2 linked regions of the Drosophila melanogaster genome follow. The gene in region 1 interacts genetically with each later gene. Each region holds a gene or a part of one and is shown in the gene's direction. Other genes may lie near its edges. The genes, in order: Paics and tok.

What was found.
Region 2: of Paics (region 1) and tok, changing one suppresses a phenotype caused by changing the other (phenotypic suppression), as found in Drosophila melanogaster (one study listed by BioGRID).

The regions. Positions count from the first base shown.
Region 1 is NC_004354.4:12,754,621-12,763,926, reverse strand, and holds Paics (PAICS bifunctional enzyme), read left to right. Parts: upstream 1-3,309; 5' UTR 3,310-3,553; coding exon 3,554-3,578; intron 3,579-4,011; coding exon 4,012-4,215; intron 4,216-4,319; coding exon 4,320-4,464; intron 4,465-4,891; coding exon 4,892-5,004; intron 5,005-5,072; coding exon 5,073-5,875; 3' UTR 5,876-6,167; downstream 6,168-9,306. Other genes in the region: pira (pirate), read left to right, coding at 584-2,629. UniProt on the Drosophila melanogaster protein: Bifunctional phosphoribosylaminoimidazole carboxylase and phosphoribosylaminoimidazole succinocarboxamide synthetase catalyzing two reactions of the de novo purine biosynthetic pathway.
Region 2 is NT_033777.3:24,715,757-24,724,775, forward strand, and holds the start of tok (tolkin), read left to right. Parts: upstream 1-3,940; 5' UTR 3,941-3,983; intron 3,984-4,300; exon of another isoform or gene 4,301-4,464; intron 4,465-9,019. Other genes in the region: CG13627 (uncharacterized protein), read left to right, coding at 1-1,329, 1,391-1,552; Polr2L (RNA polymerase II, I and III subunit L), read left to right, coding at 1,862-1,956, 2,040-2,148; CG13630 (uncharacterized protein), read right to left, coding at 2,274-2,506, 2,565-3,302, 3,372-3,525.

The DNA.
Region 1 (9,306 bases):
ATAAATTTTTGGTTTTTAAAAATTCCCATACAAAGAACTTGCAACAAACGGCTGAACTTATAACTTTGTAAATACCACATGTAAGAATACTAATACTTGTAAATGAAAAGCAAAGAACTTAGCTTAGCTAAGATTCGCTTAAATGCCTATATTTCGTCAGTTCAAATATTATTTAATTTCAATATTCGCAACATTCAAATTTCAAAGCGGACTATCGATACATATTTTTAAAAACACCCCACAAAATCCATACCAATTGGAAACATATACATATGTATCGATATGAGCAGCAAAACTCCGATGGCGATAGCAACTCGCACAGATGATTTTTGGATACAGCACTTGGGACGCCGTTTACCCCAACAATAAAAATAGACAGATATCAAATATCGCATAAAACACACAGATTGGAAAATGAAAGGAATATAGTGATCAAAGTCACCGTGTTAGGTGACTCTTCAACCATCCAGTTAACTTTGCACATCAAGCAGCCCGAGAATTTGCAATCGAAACGAGAAACTTCAGTTCAGTCAGATCAGCCCATATAACGTACATATGTTATACTATTGAATCCGGCTCCAAAATGGATCGCAAAGAAACTGTTTCGAAGGACCAAGCGGTACGTCGAATTGCCCATAATGACTTTATATTAGTCTCACGTCAATTGCTGATCAATCGAGCCGACACGGATCCGGACAAAGGAAGTGCCAGGATGTTGATTATCTACAGCAGTGGAAAGCAGCACATCGTCACCTTCAAGCTGCCGAATCTTGCGTGTAGGGTGCAGGATCTGTTTTTCCAAATGGACCTTCAGATCGATGAGAGCACCACGATTGATTGCATTGAGAATGCCGGCGGTATTATCCATTTGGTTGTCTCTGTGGGCTTCCCCATCAGTGATAACATTGCCGAGACGGTTGCCCATGCGGAGGAGTTCTATAGGAAGGTGCATCAGTCAAAGGCATCATCGGCTGATGCCGCTCCACCCAATGCGATGGCCGGTGAAGAGCACTCCCCTGCGGTTGTCAAACCATCAGAGACTGCGGTGGCCAACAATGGTTGCCAGCCAGCTGCAAGTGCAACCAAAGGCAAGAAGCACAAGAAAAGTCCTTGCGGGAGTCCGGGAGAAAACAATGATGGCCAAGTGATATTGTCGGCGGATCAAGACGCCAATACTAATACCAAGGCCAAGAAACAGAAGAAGTGCCATATTGCAAAGGATAACAATGGAATTCAAGCTGCTAGTTCTCATGACAACCCTAGTTCATCTGGCAATAAACAGGGAAGTCACAACTCCACGGCTATAACCTCCAATTCTACAATGACGAGTAATGGTCTTCGGGGCGTGCAACCAGCTGAAGATGCTCCCGCAATCTCCCAGTGGATCCAGTCGAGGAACAATGCCGCTGTTAGCAAGAAATCGGAAGAGACAGCTGGTGGATCTCAATCGCGGGTGCAATCGAATGTTGCATCCATATCCTCGCCAGCGGTGAAAGCAACTAGCGACGCTGCTATACCCACACCAGCAGAACGCGCAGAGCGTAGTCGCCTGCGCCGAAATCGCAATTGGATACTAAGCAGGGACGTTGATGAAGATGCCGTGGTGCTGGTGAGCAGCGGTGATGAGGAGACCACCGCCGCCGATGATGGCCAAACCGAGAGAAGACTTTCACCCGATGAGAATCAAACCCTTTTCACATATCCGCCAACTGGTACCGGTGGCCTGAGCATCACCATCAAGGACTTTATGTGTCTCAGTAAAGGATCGTATCTGAACGATATAATCATTGATTTTTATCTGCGCTGGCTAAAGAATAACATCATACCAGAGGAACAGCGCGATAGGACGCATATCTTTAGCACGTTTTTCCACAAAAGATTGACCACACGAACGAATCCCAGAAATACGAAGCAGACGGCGGCCCAGAAGCGTCACGAAAGGGTTGAGAAGTGGACACGAAACGTCAATATATTCGACAAGGACTTCATTATAATACCATTCAATGAGCAGTCCCATTGGATACTGGCCATTATATGTTATCCAAACCTTAGAAGCCCGGTGGTAAACAATAATAATGTGCAGACGACACTCAGTGATGATATTCCCATCAAACAGCCGTTGATACTTATTTTCGATTCGTTGGCAGTCACCTCAAGACATCGAGCGATTGCCATATTGCGGGATTATCTCACCTGTGAGCACAAGGCCAAGTATCCGAATGCGCTGGCGCATGTCTTTAACAAGGATAATATGCCCGGTCATAGTGTGGAGGTGCCGCAACAGCAGAATCTTACAGATTGCGGCCTCTATCTGCTGCAATATGTGGAGCAATTCTTCACAAAACCCATCAACGACTATACACTGCCCATTAAGGAGCTGAGCAATTGGTTTGACCTGCTCACAGTAACCAAGAAGCGTGAGGATATCGCTAATCTCATCAAGAAGCTTATGAATGAAAGCAATCAGCAGCGCAAAATTTTGCCGGTCATTAAGTTTCCGACATTAAATGGCCAACTGGTGATGGATGAGGAGGATAGCGAGGAGGAGAATTCTAAAGAGGAGCATAAAACTACGTTGGTTTGTTCAAAAGACAGAAAACCGCCGAGGAGAAGGAATACACTCAAATAAACCACTTGTGAGAGAAGTGAAAATACATATATTTTCTACAAAACAACTGAACTGAAGACGATCGCAACGCAATGCTTTGGAACACTAGGAGGAGCAAATTGACACGGCGGAGATGGGTTCACCAGAAATATACGTTTTTTCCCTCAAGGAAAAGTTTCATACACACATACAATCACCAAAAAGAGCAGTTCAGCCAACAAGACGATAAAGAGGCTACCTACTGGAGAGATAGAGACAGAGACAAAGACAGAGATCAGGATCACAGGATGAGCATGTTAGGCAGGACGAGGTGGATGTCAGGAGTTGGAGAATGGACAAAAATCAAGAAAAATTCAAAATTCAGAAAGTCACCAAATGAATAGAAAATATTTTAGAAACAAAATTTGTAAATAAAATGCGACAATAAAATTTGTCACGCATAAGCAAAGCTTTATAGATTGCCAAAAAATGTACATATGTATGTATGTACATAAGTACATAAGTTGCCCCGCGCGGTGTTCATCGGCCATTTGGGAAACTGCAGGGTATTACCAATCAGCATTATACTCGACTCTAAGCCCACACACACACCCACACGCAAGCACACACACGCGAGCGCAAACACATGGATCTCTTTGCATTGGTGTTGGGGTTCGGCGATAAGAAAATCGAGCCATAAAGTCGCGCCGGCGATTCTATAGACGCTCAGTTGCTTTGGAGCGATTCTTTGATGCAGACGAACATCGGAGTTTGCGGATTGTAATAATAGAGCCAAGCGGAGAGAGCGAAAAAGACAGAGAGAGAGATAGAGAGCGAGAGCGAGAGGGAAGGCACCAGCGAATATCGAGCATAAAGCAAAGCCCGCAACACGTGAAACAGCCAGCAGCCAATTGATTTCAATTTCGATTCTTAAAGTGAAGTGACCAACAACGTGCGATTAACGAGATGTCCACCACCACAACAGCATCCAGTAAGTTTATCCATCGCCAAGGTTTCCAAATAAACAATTGTTGTGCCTAGAACGTAAATAGTACCAAAGCTACCATCTTTTATTCGATCTTTCATCAATAAAAGACAAGCTTAATGTGATGGAAAGCAAGACAGTTGTTTATGTTTTCCCGCCAGCCTTGGATTTATTTAAACAGTTATTCGGGTTACTCAAAAAAATAAAACAACGGAATATTTTCCTGGTTCTGATAATATTTTAATGCTGTTTATTGAGCTGTCTGCTGTAAACAAGAAGGCTGGCTTTCCATTGTTTAAATCAAGATAATTGTGGATTTCGTAAACAAGTTGTCTTTCCATTCCTTAAATCAGTATCATCATATATCATATAGCATCGATTCTAAATACTAACTAAACACCGAACGTAACGAATGCAACTGCAACTTGAATTTCCACAGTAGAGGGCTATAAGCTCGGCAAGGTCATCATCGAGGGCAAAACCAAACAGGTGTACGATCTGCCAGAGCAGCCAGGACTTTGCCTGCTCCTCAGCAAGGATCGCATCACCGCCGGCGATGGTGTCAAAGCACATGATCTGGCCGGCAAGGCGGAGATCTCCAATACCACCAACGGTCAGGTCTTCCGGCTGCTCAACGAGGCAGGTGAGTTGCTAAACCATATAAGTCAAATCAACTATAATGCATTTTAGTCAATTTCTAACCAAATTGATCAATTAATTAATTAATTAATGCTTCTTATTCGACAGGCATTCGCACCGCCTATGTGAAGCAGTGCGGCGCCAAGGCCTTCATCGCCCGCAAGTGCCAGATGATACCCATTGAGTGGGTGACCCGTCGCCTGGCCACCGGTTCGTTCCTCAAGCGCAATGTCGGCGTGCCCGAGGGCTACAGGTTGGTAAACAGCCAATGGCTGGCTGTGGGTTATCACCCCATTCGATTTGTTGCGATCTGTGTGTTATCTGTGTCCGCTTGCGGTAAACAAATTCAAATGCAATCGATGCACTGCAGCAGGGTCAACAATCGCTGATAAGATTGATCGTTTGTGAACTCAAAGCCCACGAAATCTGTAATTCAAGTCAAGATTTTCGCCAGGGCAATGCTGCTGAGATGCTATGTGTAAATTCGTTTCATTTGATGTCGTCATACCAAGGCAATAGCTCTTTTTTATGGCTTTGATTGCCAACAAGTTCGCCTCTTTGAGTTACTGTAGAATATATATTATACTAGAAGTAATACAAATGTCACTTGATATTTAATTTATTCATCTATTTGCCTCAATTTGCTGCCTTATTACTACAATTACATTTGCATTGCGCAGGTTCTCGCCGCCCAAACAGGAGACGTTCTTCAAGGATGATGCCAACCACGATCCCCAGTGGAGCGAGGAGCAAATTGTCTCCGCCAAGTTCGAGCTAAATGGCCTGGTGATCGGTGGGTACTTGCGGCATAAAGCACTTTTACATATACAAATCTAAAACTGGCAACATGTTTTTCTTTAGGCCAAGATGAGGTGGACATTATGCGTAGAACCACACTGCTGGTCTTCGAGATTCTCGAGAGGGCATGGCAGACCAAGAATTGCGCCCTGATCGACATGAAAGTGGAGTTCGGTATCTGCGACGATGGCAACATAGTTCTGGCCGATATCATTGATTCCGATTCGTGGCGCTTGTGGCCAGCGGGTGACAAGCGTTTGATGGTCGACAAGCAGGTGTATCGCAATCTGGCATCGGTGACGGCCAGCGATTTGGATACCGTAAAGAGGAACTTCATTTGGGTGGCCGAACAACTGGCTGATATTGTGCCCAAGAAGGATCACCTGGTTGTCATTCTGATGGGCAGTGCTTCCGATATATCGCACAGCGAGAAGATAGCCACCAGCTGTCGATCCCTCGGCCTTAATGTGGAACTTCGCGTGAGTTCGGCCCACAAGGGACCGGAGGAAACGTTGCGCATTGTCCGCGAATATGAATCGGTGATGAGCAACTTGATCTTTGTGGCCGTCGCCGGGCGATCCAATGGACTGGGTCCAGTCGTTTCCGGCAGCACCAACTATCCGGTAATCAATTGTCCGCCCGTCAAATCGGACAACATGCAGGTGGACGTGTGGTCCAGCTTGAATCTGCCATCGGGGCTGGGCTGTGCCACAGTTCTCTATCCAGAGGCAGCTGCTCTGCATGCGGCCACCATTCTGGGGCTGGGCAACTTCATGGTCTGGTCGAAATTGCGTGTCAAGGCGCTCAACAACTTTATCACTCTCAAGAAGGCCGACAAGGAGTTGCGCGGCGTGCGAAATGCTTAGTTGCTGGTTATCATAGCTTATGGTGGGAGATATCAGCATTGGATATCAACCAGGAGGCCATATATAGAGAATCCTTCCCTGATCATTGCCGTTCGGCGATCATCCAGGGATCCCATAAAGGTCATCATCAGATCACATACTTTGTTAATTCTTCTTTCTCCTATTTTTTTTTTTTTGAAACCAAACATTTTTTTATTAGTATTAGGAAAGCATGACTTCAACTTGTTGTACCACGTTCTTGACAGGTTACGAACTCGAAATAACAAAAAATAAAAATTACATTTTAAATGTTACGCACTTTGAGCTGAATTTTTTATAAATATAAAAGAAATATAGCATGGATTACACGTAAATGTGATTGAATGTTTCTCCATTTTTGGAGTAAAAACATTCCCTTTCTTGGACGCAACTTTAAAAATAATTGTCTGAGTATGGAATGCCATATCTCGTCGAGCTCGTAATTAAATTTCCAATTCAACTGTGTCCAAAAATTGTATTTCTATTTTTTTGCCATTTTTTGTAAATTTACCTTACCAAAATATGCAAAAATTGGTCAAAAAATAAATTTTTCTAAATCCTTGAAAAGGTGATAGGGATTGTTAGCATTGGTAATTAGCTGCTCAAAACAGTTATTCTTTTGACTTTGTGTTGATTTTGAGCAACGTTTAGAAGAAATCTGCATTCGTTCCCTAGCCAATTTTTAAATTGATTTAGTTTGAATTTAGAACCGACAATAAGTTTTTTTTTGTTTATTTTTGCCAATTTTTAGTTCAAACTAATTAGTAGCATACTTTTGGGCTGAGACGATGACGATTTGAATGACTAAACTGTTGCACTTTTTAAACGTGATTCTTGGCTCTATTAAACAAAACAAAAAACGGGAATTAGCCATGTGTATAGTTTATATATTAAAATAGCATCTAGAATGCTAAAAAAAATGTATTAAAAACCACGTTTGGAGAAAAGAGAAATTGTAGATAAATTTCCAAAAAATGTAAATAAAAGAGTTATTTATCAAATGTAAACCAATGAACTTTATTTTCATTTTAAATATAGCTATGTTTAGCTTAATTGTCTTGAAAAATTTACATTAATAAAACTAGGTATATATATTAAATATAGTAATATATGTACATAATTGATAAAGGCCAATTTAGTTATGCAAATTAAACTGCTAATAGCAGTAAACTACTAATGATGTTGAACCTACAATACATGTATGTACATATGTATATATATGCCCCTTGGGAAAATCATATGGATACCTTGTGGTAGAGGGGATTGGGAGGCGTGGAGACGGGGAGACGGGGAGTACTGAGACCGGGAAAATATGTGCTAAAGTGCGCCGGCCACCGCAGGTCAATTAATCATACTTTAGTGTTTAGCAGACAACACCACAAAAATACAAACACAAGCACAAGCACAAACACAAACAACGAAGCACAATTCATAATAATAACAATAATTTAGCATAAGAGAAGCGGGACGGGTGAAGGGTGCGAGTGAGACGGCGAATGTACACATTAAAAGTCAGGGTCAAAGTGTGGCCATTGTGTTTTGCCTCTCCCTCTGGCGCACCAACCGAAACACCACCCCCCGCCGCCTGCCACACCCCGCTCACAAGTGTCTGCTGTTGTTGGAAACAACAATAAGCAATAAGAAATATGAATGGCAAAGCAAATGTAACAAAATGTTGAGAAAACTAAGGAAAACACAAAAAAGACAAGAGCTTGGTTCATAAGAAAATACCCTGCCATTTTAGCTTTTGGGATATTGCGTTTCAGAAATTCAGATATAGTCAAACTGAATTAACATTAATATTAATAAGTATATATCTTAATATACATATTTAAAGTTTTTAAGCGAAGCGAGCAACTAGTGTATACAGTAGATAATTATAAAAAAAAGTTTTTAGATACAAAAACTTGCCTAAAAACGCTTGTTTAGAGCTAAGAAAACGAAAAATTATCAAAATAGAATAACTTCTTTTATAAAACATAAAGCTAGCAAAAAATTACTTACGCGGGAACCTCGACCTAACCTCAATTTGAGTGCCAGCACTAAGAGGTTCAGTTCTTTAAACTATGCAGGTTGAACCCGCGTCCATATTCGAGCATGCCCTTTTCTTTTGGGGCTAAAATGTGAGTGACTGCGACGTTGGGGTCCCAGCTACAACAAAACAACTGCAAATACAACGACAACAATGGCCGGCAATTGTTTTGCGGCGTCGCCTCTGCCGCTGCCGCTGCCTCTGTTGCTGCTTTGCCGACGTCAATGACGCAGCGCTATGTTTGCGGTGGCTATTGCTATTGTGGCATCCGTCTACGCCACCCCCCTCTCAACCAATTCCACATCGACCGCAAGGGGTTTCTTTGTTGTACATATTTCTTGTTTCTGTTTGCCGATTCGGTTTTCTTCTTTCTTTCTTTTTGTTTTTGCGAATAAAAACTGTTTTGTTACAAGCGCGAATGCCGATCGCAGTCGATCGCTCTACACGTTTTCATTATAATTTTACTGTTTCACATCTCGCTCCCACCCGCTGCCATCTCCCTCGCACTCTGCCGGCTACAGGCCACATTCATTAATTTCAATTTGCAATATTTTCTTTAATATGCATATTCTATATTTCAAACGATATTGAACCGATGCCCAAAAGAGGACCATTCAGTTTCCAAAAATAAACATTCTTCAACATTTAAATAAACATTTAAAGTCGAACAATATACATACATATGTAAGTTCGATTTTGCGAGGCCCCACTGTACCCATTTGGCGAGGCAACTCTTTCAACTTGTTGCTAAAAATATGCAAGACAGTAAAAGGAAACCGGTTCCCCCCCCCCTTCCGAACCATACACACGCACATGTACGTACTTTATGTATGTGTGGATATGGCTATATGTATATATGTGTGTACATATAACTGGTTGTTGCTGGGTGCCGAGCCACTGACCGAAGTGTTGGTTGCGGGGGGAGGGAGCGAGGGTTTTGCTACGGGGTGCTGTGCGGTGGAACTGGAACTGTGACTTGATTATTCAGTCGGCACAAGAAACAAGCCGATCGGTGCACACACAAAGACCAGAGTAAAATGGCAAAAACAACATTGTTAACCAACTACATGCAAAACACCAACACGTAATACAAGATCGTAAAGCGGTTTCTACATACATACATACATACATACATACATACATATGTATGTAATATGGGTACAGTGGGGCCTCGCAAAATCGAACTTACATATGTATGTATATTGTTCGACTTTAAATGTTTATTTAAATGTTGAAGAATGTTTATTTTTGGAAACTGAATGGTCCTCTTTTGGGCATATGTATGTATGTATGTATATATCGGGAATTGGCAGGGGGGACGGGCGCATGGGGCTAAGGATGGGGCAGATTACGCGCGCAAAACCGGCAAGCCGATGAAACT
Region 2 (9,019 bases), on another chromosome or scaffold:
CCCATTTACACGGTACCCGCACCGAACCTGGCCGACAATCACCTGGACGTGGAGGAGGGTCATCTTGACACCTCCTACCTGTACAAGCCTCCTTCCCAGACCCAGATCCAAACACCATCCTCCTCAGCCCGTCCCCAGACATATTTGCCACCGAAGTACAGTGTGCATGAGGACGAGACCAATGACCAAACCATTCGTGATCCCATTTCGGGTTCGCAGAAACTCTTTGCCCCAGATCCGGATCCCTCGCTGCCCACCACCAAGATTCGCCCCGCCACCGAATCTTTCAATACGCCCAGCAACAACAAACCGCTGCCCGCCGACGTCCAGAGTAACCATCTGCCAGCCCAGCCATTGGTTCAGATTGTGGGAGCCCAGACGGCAGCCCAAACGGCGCCAGAGATCTATCCCATTCAGTATGCCCAGCCGGCGGTTCACTCCCAGTCCTTTATCGCCGCCATTCCGGCTGCCCACATTCCCATCTATAATCCCACCTACCTGGTGACGCAGTCCAACCAACTGTACTCGGCCCACAAGCAGCAGCTTTTCAAGCCCAGCTCGGAACCGGTGGTGGAAACGGGTTACGTGAACGCCGATCTCACCCAGGAGGTAGCCAGCAATGGACAGATACTGCAGGCAGCCAAGGATCCACATCACAACATCCATCCTGTACTTGATTCGGCGCCACAATATGCTGCTCTTATTGCCGCTCCGGCACTGGGTGATCCCAATGAGGGTGCCTACGAGACGGCCTCCTTCCACCTGCCCAATGTGGCGTCAGCGGTCACTGCCTCCGTTCCGGAAGGTGGCTTCGTGGTGTCCAACTTCTATGGCCATGCCCACGACTCTTCCCAATTGCTGCAGGCCTACGCAGAGGAGGAGGCACGTCGACAGCAACTGGAAACAGAGCAAGCCGCCATTGAGCTGCAAAAGCAGCAGCAGTTGCATCTGGAGGAGCTTAAGGCGCAGGCCCAGGAGCAACAGCAGCAGCATCAGCTGCATCTGGAGGAGCTGAGGGCTCAGGCGCAGTACCAGCAGCAGCAACAGCAGCAGTTCGAGGAACTGCAGGCACAGGCACAGGAGCAACACTTGCAGCAGCAACACCAGCAGCATCAGTTGCAGCTCTTGCAATTGCAGCAGCAGCAACAGCAGTTGCAGCAACCAGTGCAGCACCATCCGCCGCAGCAGCTGCAACAGCAGCAGCAGCAGCAGGTGGCTCAGGATCCAGCAGCAAGTGCATTCGAGGAGCACCAGCGATTGGTGCAGCAGCAACTTGGCGCCAACACGCCACTTCGCATCTTTGTGCCCGACGAGGAGGCCGCCGAATCGGTAGGTAAAATTAGACAAGAAATTCTTCCGTATGCTAACATTTGAGACTTTCCTTGTATAGCGACTGCAAAAGAGATCGGATGATGTGAAAAAGGGCACGGTGGAGGATGTGTCCAGTGCGGGTCGGAACGACGGCGACAGCGAGGAGTCAGCCAAAGATTTGTTCGAGGTATCCACCTCCGTCGAAGTGGCCGGCGAGCATCTCACGGCCAGCAGTAATTAGTTAACGCACTTTTAGTCTTCGACGCTGTTCAAAAATATTTATTTACACACTCATTTGTAAAAAACGCATTCATGTAGCGAGCAGTCGGTAGTTAATAAAAATAACCATTAATTTATTCAAATATTCGTTAGCGTTCTTTTTGAATGGATATAAGTTTTTGTGTTATCGATACATTGTAATGCTGGTGAGATAAAAATACAACTGCACTCTGGTCACACTCATGACAAGTAAAAACACATTTTACCAAAAACATTGTTGTGATTGCACATTTTTCGTGATTTAACTAAGAATTAGAGCCTGATCTACAAAATGATTATTCCAATCCGTTGTTTCACCTGCGGCAAGGTCATTGGCAACAAGTGGGAGTCGTATTTGGGTCTCCTGCAAGCGGAATACACCGAAGGGTAAGTCACGCGGGAAAGTCTCCTTTCCACGCCGCATTTCATCATATAATATATATATATTATATCTTACAATCCAATCCCAGAGATGCCCTGGATGCTTTGGGTCTAAAGAGGTACTGCTGCCGTCGCATGCTCCTGGGCCACGTGGATCTTATCGAAAAACTGCTCAACTATGCTCCTCTGGAGAAGTGAACGGCACAATGGAAACCATCCAAACTGGACTTGGGAATAAAAACTCTAGATTTTATTGTAAAATTACAAATTAAAGCTTGATCGATAGCCCTAGAAGTTATGTATTAGCCCAAGTTGGTCGACCCTCACATCTTGTCCATGAACCACGGCTGTCCGTTGTTCTCGCGACGCTTGGTGAGAATCTCGCATCCGGTTTCGTTGACCAGCAGTGTCTGCTCAAACTGGGCGGAGTACAGGCCATCGGCGGTCACAGCAGTCCAGTCATCTGGCCAGGTTTCAGCCTTCTGGACGCCAACGGAGATCATGGGCTCGATGGTGAAGCAGTGGCCAGGGGCCATTACTCCTACGGCAGAGTTTTCTGCAAAGTAAGGACATTAATAATATTCAAAGTACTTTTAGCCAGCTCGAAAACTTACTGGCATAGTGAGGCACATTGGGAGCTGTGTGGAAAACACGGTGAATGCCATGACCGCAATAGCTGCGCACCACGCTGAATCCATGTGGTGCCACATACTTTTGGATCACGTTGCCAATATCGCGATACTTTTCACCCGGACGCACGAACTCAATGGCCTTGCTGAGCGCCTCGTGGGTGACCTGCACCAGTTTCTTGTGCTTCTCCGAGACATTGCCCACAAAGAAGGTCTCGTTGAGATCACCATGGAAGCCGCGATGATAGACGGTCACATCGATGTTACATAGATCTCCATCCTGTAGAGGACGCTGATCGGGGATGCCGTGGCAAATCACCTCGTTGACCGATGTGCAACAGGACTTGGGGAAGTTGTAGTAGTTGAGGGGCGACGGATAGCACTCCCGTTCGATGGCGGCCTCGTGGACCAAACGATCCAGTTCGTCGGTGGTGATGCCCACCTCCACGGCTTTGGCACCCTCATCCAAGCATTCTCGACCCAATCTGCCGGCCACTCGCATGCCCTCGATCTCCTCGTCGTCCAGCACCTTAATCTTGGTGCCCCGCAGTGCTTCCTCCGAGAGTGAACGTCCTGCTGGATGATCGGCGTAATCTGGACGTTGTATGGCGTTCGGAACTGTTCGCTTGGGAGTCTGTGGGAACGGGCGGAGCTTGCCGGTGAAGCGGAAATGTGGCCATGGATTGTAGGCTCCATCCTGTTCGGCAGAGTTCGAGGCACCGGCTGAGTCAAGAGAATTATATGGTTTCATTGCAATCCAACTCATTAGGAACAAGACTTTCTAAAACTGACCTGCTAAAGCATGAATCGCCTTGTGCTCCTTCCAGAATCCTTTGAAGCACGGCTGCGAGCAGAAAAATGAGCCCTTGATGCCCAACTTTAGGCAGGTGGGACACTGCAGGGTCGCATCCTTGCCGCAGTTGGTTGTCTCGCACTTTTGAGTCATTCTATTTCAACAATTAATGCGAGAAAAATTTCCGTGCCTGCCAAAAATAGTTTAACACAGCGTGACCGCACCGATAACGATAGAAAATACCTGGAAGCTTTAAAATAAATACCTTTTTATACCATTATATGACAATATATAAGCAATATGGCTTTTTGGGAAATTTGCCTTACGCTTCAAGCAAAATCATAATTCTATTGGTTTGATATTAAATACTGTTTTCTGATTAAACATTAAAAAAGTTGATATTAAATAAATACCAAATCAATGTTTAAGAATGGCGCTACATCGATATCCGATGTTTTCCAAGCACCGATAGCCTGGGACCAGTTCTGTTCTTATCGATACGTTTGTGCCAGGGTTGTTCGTCGCCGGCTGTAACGGGCATTAGTTTAAAATTGGAAATAACTTGATAACCATTTTATGTGTATTTAACCATTTAAAATGTTACTATTATGGTAAGTGATTCGTAAATAGTATTCATATGATAATTAACATAAGAAAAGAGTTAATAAGGGCTTTCCTTACAAATGGTTTAAAATCGTTCGAAATTTGAAAGTAAACAAATTAAATATGTAAGTTCTTCGCGGAGATCTTTGATCTGGCTAAGGGACACTGGCCCCGTGAATTCGTGGCCTTTGTTTTCGTCCGTCGGGGCGGCAGTTCAAACGCAGCCGCCTGTTGGGCACTTTTCCGCAGTTGTTCTCGGCGCATGCTCTTGGTGGGAACAGTTTGGACTTGGACTCGGTTTATCTGTCTGCTCTGTTTATGTTCTCAAATCGCGAGCAACTTCGGTCGTGAACGGACGTGCTTTCGCTGTAAACTCGGAATCGGTGTCGCGAAACAAAAGAATATTGGCAACAAACTTGTTTGAGTCAAATGGCCAAACGCAAATATCCGCAAAGGGCAGCAGGATAAATTTATTGGCCAGTGAAGTGAGTGAGTGTCTTGTTTCGAATTGGTTTGGCCAAAAAAAAAAGAGGACCCCTTTAATATTTCTACCTGCAAGGGATGCTGAGATTTCGGCAGAGTTTCGCATCATTTGCGAGCGCAACTTAACTAACTCAACAAGTGAATTCAAGGGTTTTCGCTCCTCCAATTACTGATTTTGTCCTCGTGATCTTCGTACTCGATTGAAATTCGATTACGATCGTTTTGTGTGTGTGCATTGAAATCAGCGTTATCAGTGTCTGCCCTGATCTTTGGTTTTGCGTTGAACATGTTTATTATTATTCATTTCTCTGGTTTCCCGCGCCCAACGACAATAAGTTAAGTAAACACGCTGTTTTTGTTGAGGATGCTGCTGCTGCTGTCTGTTGTCGTTGCTGCTGTATATGTTGCTGCTGCATGTGTTACAGCTGTTTCCATAGTTGCTGTTGCTGCTGTCACATGTGTTGCTACTGTCTCTTGTGCTGCTGCTGTTTCCAAAGCGGCTGCTGATGTCAATGTTGCTGCTGCTATCGCGTATGTTGCTGCAACTTTTTTAGTTACCGCTGTTGCTGCAATCTCATATGTTGCTGCTGTTTCTATGGCTGAAGGTGTTGCTTCTTTGTTGCTGCTGTTGCTGCTGATAGGAGCGCAGCATTCGAATGGCTATAAATAAAAAACGGCACGCGGTGTGTGCAGCAGTGAGAATCCCCCGGCCCGTCTCCGCCGGATTTTCAGCACCACCAGCATCGCTTGATTATTATTGGTGGGTGTTCTGCGTTTTACGCGACCACACACAGGCACACTGCCACACACACACTATTATCTTCGCCGTGCGGTTTCCACTTTTCCGCTTTTCATTCCGTCGTTAAGACGCAGCACATATCTCGTCAATTGGCAATCTAAAGGCCGCCGGCATAATTAAAATAGAATCATTTCTGATTTCGCTTTGTGTCGCACAGACATGTGTGTCTTATTTTGTTTGTTTGTTTTTTCTTTTTTTTTTGCAATACGGAACAATTGCGAAAGTCAAGGTGGCCGCGAAAAGCCGCGAAATAGTAGGGAATTCCTATGCGATGGCAACGAACTCGATCTCTGTGTACCCAACTCATCTTGTCTGGCCTTTTATTGATTTATTTTTTCCCCGGCAGTCAGTCTACTCTTTTTTTATGTTCCCCTTTGTTTTGACCAACGATCCTCGATCTTCGACGGCAATTAAAGGCAGGCCAAAATGGTCCAGGAAGGCAGACATCAGCCTTAATTTGCTTTGGTTGCATTGCCTGCTCGTCTTCGGAACTTTTTCATATGCTGCGCAGTGCGTACTTTGTTTGTTTGTGTGCCAGCCGAATGGAAGCTGATGGAAATTTATGCGTAGAGAAAGGTGGAAGAATATGAAATGGAAAATATGAAATTTTTGAATTGAGTTTGTGGAGGAGTGGGGGGGGGGGGCTGGGGCGGTACACCTAACACTTCCGGTTGCCAGAATATCAACTTCCGGTGGCGTAGAATTGTTAGCGGGGAAATGCTTTGGCACAAAAGACGCATATTGATATTGTTGCCCAGGCTGCTTACGCTCCAATAAGCACACCCACACACACACATAGGCAGACATACAGACGGGAAGGTCCTTCGTCCTTGGGAGCCAGAAAACGCATTTCATTTTTGCTCCAGTGAGTTGGCCCTTGTCTGGCAAACGTTTTGTGGCAACTTGGCCATTAAGCATTTCGTGTTTAAGCAGCAGGATCTTTCCCTCGCCCTTCCCTCTCAGGACGAAGGACCAACAGGACAGTACAGCAAGGAATAAAAATTGCCCGCGTATGCATTTCTTAACAACATTTCTCCACCACCCTCCCCCTTCGCTCCCCAGCGACAACATTTCATTTCATATTTTGTGGCAGCAGCGCTTTGAATAGAATTCATTTGGATTCCCTTTCCCAGGACACCTCGTCCACTTCCTTTTGCCTTTGTCAGCCCCTGGGTTTCCGCATCCCACATCCCAGAACCCAGATCTTCCACATCCCTCATCTTCCTGGAACACGCACTTCAGACTGATAGCGCCTGCTTAACAAATTTCTGCTGTATTTTTCGGTTCTTGTTCTCCACTTTATTATATTCCGTCTTCTTCTTTTTTTGCCATGGCAATGGGGATTTTTCCGCATTTTTAGCTGTCGCAGCAGGGTAAAAATTAAAAGCGAATTAAGTTCGAGGAGCTGTGGAGGCATCTAAAAGGTATCTAAAAGGTGGACAGCCGAAGATAACTGCACTTGACGCCGGATAGACCACAGGCATTATTAAACCCCAAATTTACCTGCCAACCAGGCGGGGTGGCAAATCTGCAAAAGAGATTTGAGTTATTTTATGGATATTACTAAGTATTCTGTATCTGCTACAGCAGCCATGAATTGGGGGGCTTTTTGGAAAGGGTCTTTATTACACATAACAAAAAAATTTATAAAAATATAGGTCTCTATATTCTTCAAATGGCTCAATCATAGTTATTTACTATTAACTTGCGAAAAATACCCAAAAGTTCCTGTCCTTTTATACATCTTGCACGTTATTAGTTTGCTCGCTGAATTTTCTCAGTGTAAGATCCCATGAAATACAAATATTTTTCCCTATGTAGGCACAACAGCTGACACCATCCTGCTAACAAGCAGCCGTCGCATCCACATCCTCCTCCAAAGTCCTCGAGAACAGGAGCACCCTGCCATTGAAAGTGTCACCCCAAGCTACTTCTTCTGTATTTTTACTTCATCTTTTGCCACGCCACTTTTTCTGCACCCCCTTCCCTCCGAATCACTTGGTTTCTTCCCAATTTCGGTTGCTATAAAGCAAAGTTAATGATATGTCGCAAGTGCTTGTTTGTCTGCCTGACTGGGGATGAGTGTGGGTGAGTGGCTCCACTTCCAGTTGGCTGAATACTGTCGTCGTTGCTGTGGCCCCATTCCATGTGTAATTAATTAAAGACTAAGCAGATTTTATATTTCACTTACTTGCTTGAGACTAATTTATGAGTATTTCCACTTTTTGTCATATTTCAAAGTCTGCACGATAGACTAATTGGGTAGTTCAGTAGTGGTAGTGAAACGGGAAATCTTGAGGCATTCTTAAGGGTCAAGGATATCTTATAGATTTGCCTCGTTGCAAAGCTATTCATTGAGCTCTCAATGGCTTCGATTGCCTTGGCCGTGGTTTCGCCACTTTTTAGTTGGCCAAAGCCCAACTTGGGCCACAAACTTTTCACTGGCCGTCAGTTTTCTCGGATCGTTTTCACTTGCACGCATTTACAAGCAAGAAGTTAAGTCGCCAGTTTGCTCAACGGGGGGCATTTTCTCGCTGGAATTTGTTGGCCCAGTCGCCCTTTTTTATTTGCCAAATTAAAAGGATTTCACTCGCTTTTCATATTTGCATTGGGGGAGCTGCTTTACGCTTTTATTCTTTTCATATTTTATCGCCGGCCTGCCAGGCCTTGTAGCCCATTGCCAACAATTTTCCCACGCAATCACCATAAAAAGAAATCTTTGCCGCCATATTTCTGTAGGATGCCTGCTCCTCTGTTGGTTTCTCTCTGGCAATTGTTATTCATGACCCGAAATAACAGCAGGGTGGCTGCAGGGATGATGATGAAATGAGATGGGTTACGCTGTACTGGGATGCCAAGGTGAGGCGCATCCCTGGTCTCCAATGGGCCGTGTTGGGTACTGATTCCTCTGGCCACACAACGCTCGTCATTCGTCGTTGTTAGTATTAATTATTTCTTAACTTTAGTGCCGGTTCCTGCTAGCACGGTTTATAAATAAAGCGCAGGCCCTTCACGGCATCGCTGGGCCTCAGTTCATCCTGCTGCTCCGGCGACCACTGGTTATTTGCATCGACCTTCGTCCTGTTTCTGTTGCAGATTATGACCCCAAAAGTGGGAGGGTGGCTGTCTATCTGTCTGCGGGGTATTTTATGGCTGAACTTTATTTACATTCACATGCCGAGCTGCTAAATAATCAGGACTCGACCCGACCACCCGCTCATTTCGTTTGTACTGTGCTGCAGGATACAGCAGCCAGGAGCCAGTGGCCAGGATATACGGATGTACCGCCTGAAGGAAGAAGGGTGTGGGCATTGGGAAGTGGGTGGGTGGGTTTTTGGCCATGGTCTGAACCGGCGTACAAGGGCCACAGGTGCCAGGCAGCCAAGTTTAATTATTTGCCGTTGGCTTTGGATTCGTTCTGGTTCTGGTCCTGCCCTTTGGGGTCCTCATCCTCTCGGTGCCCTGGCCTCTGGCCTGCTATCCCCCTCCGTCATGCCATCATCCCATCTGGTTGTCTGTTTGTTTGCTTGTTTGTTGTTAGTTCAGTCGCCTCGCTGCATTTTGCGCTTGTGAAGCATTTTAAATCGCATAAAAGTCGGCCGCAGCAGAAGCAGAAGGATCCTCTGAGCCCCCGGGCTGGTCACCCCATTCATTATACCATTTCGGCTGGCCTAGCCTTTGCGTCTGTAATTGAAATTAAGTTGTTGCCAAATTGAGGCTCGTAGTCCTGCTGCTCCGCCCACTTGTTAGCCAAGTCGTGGT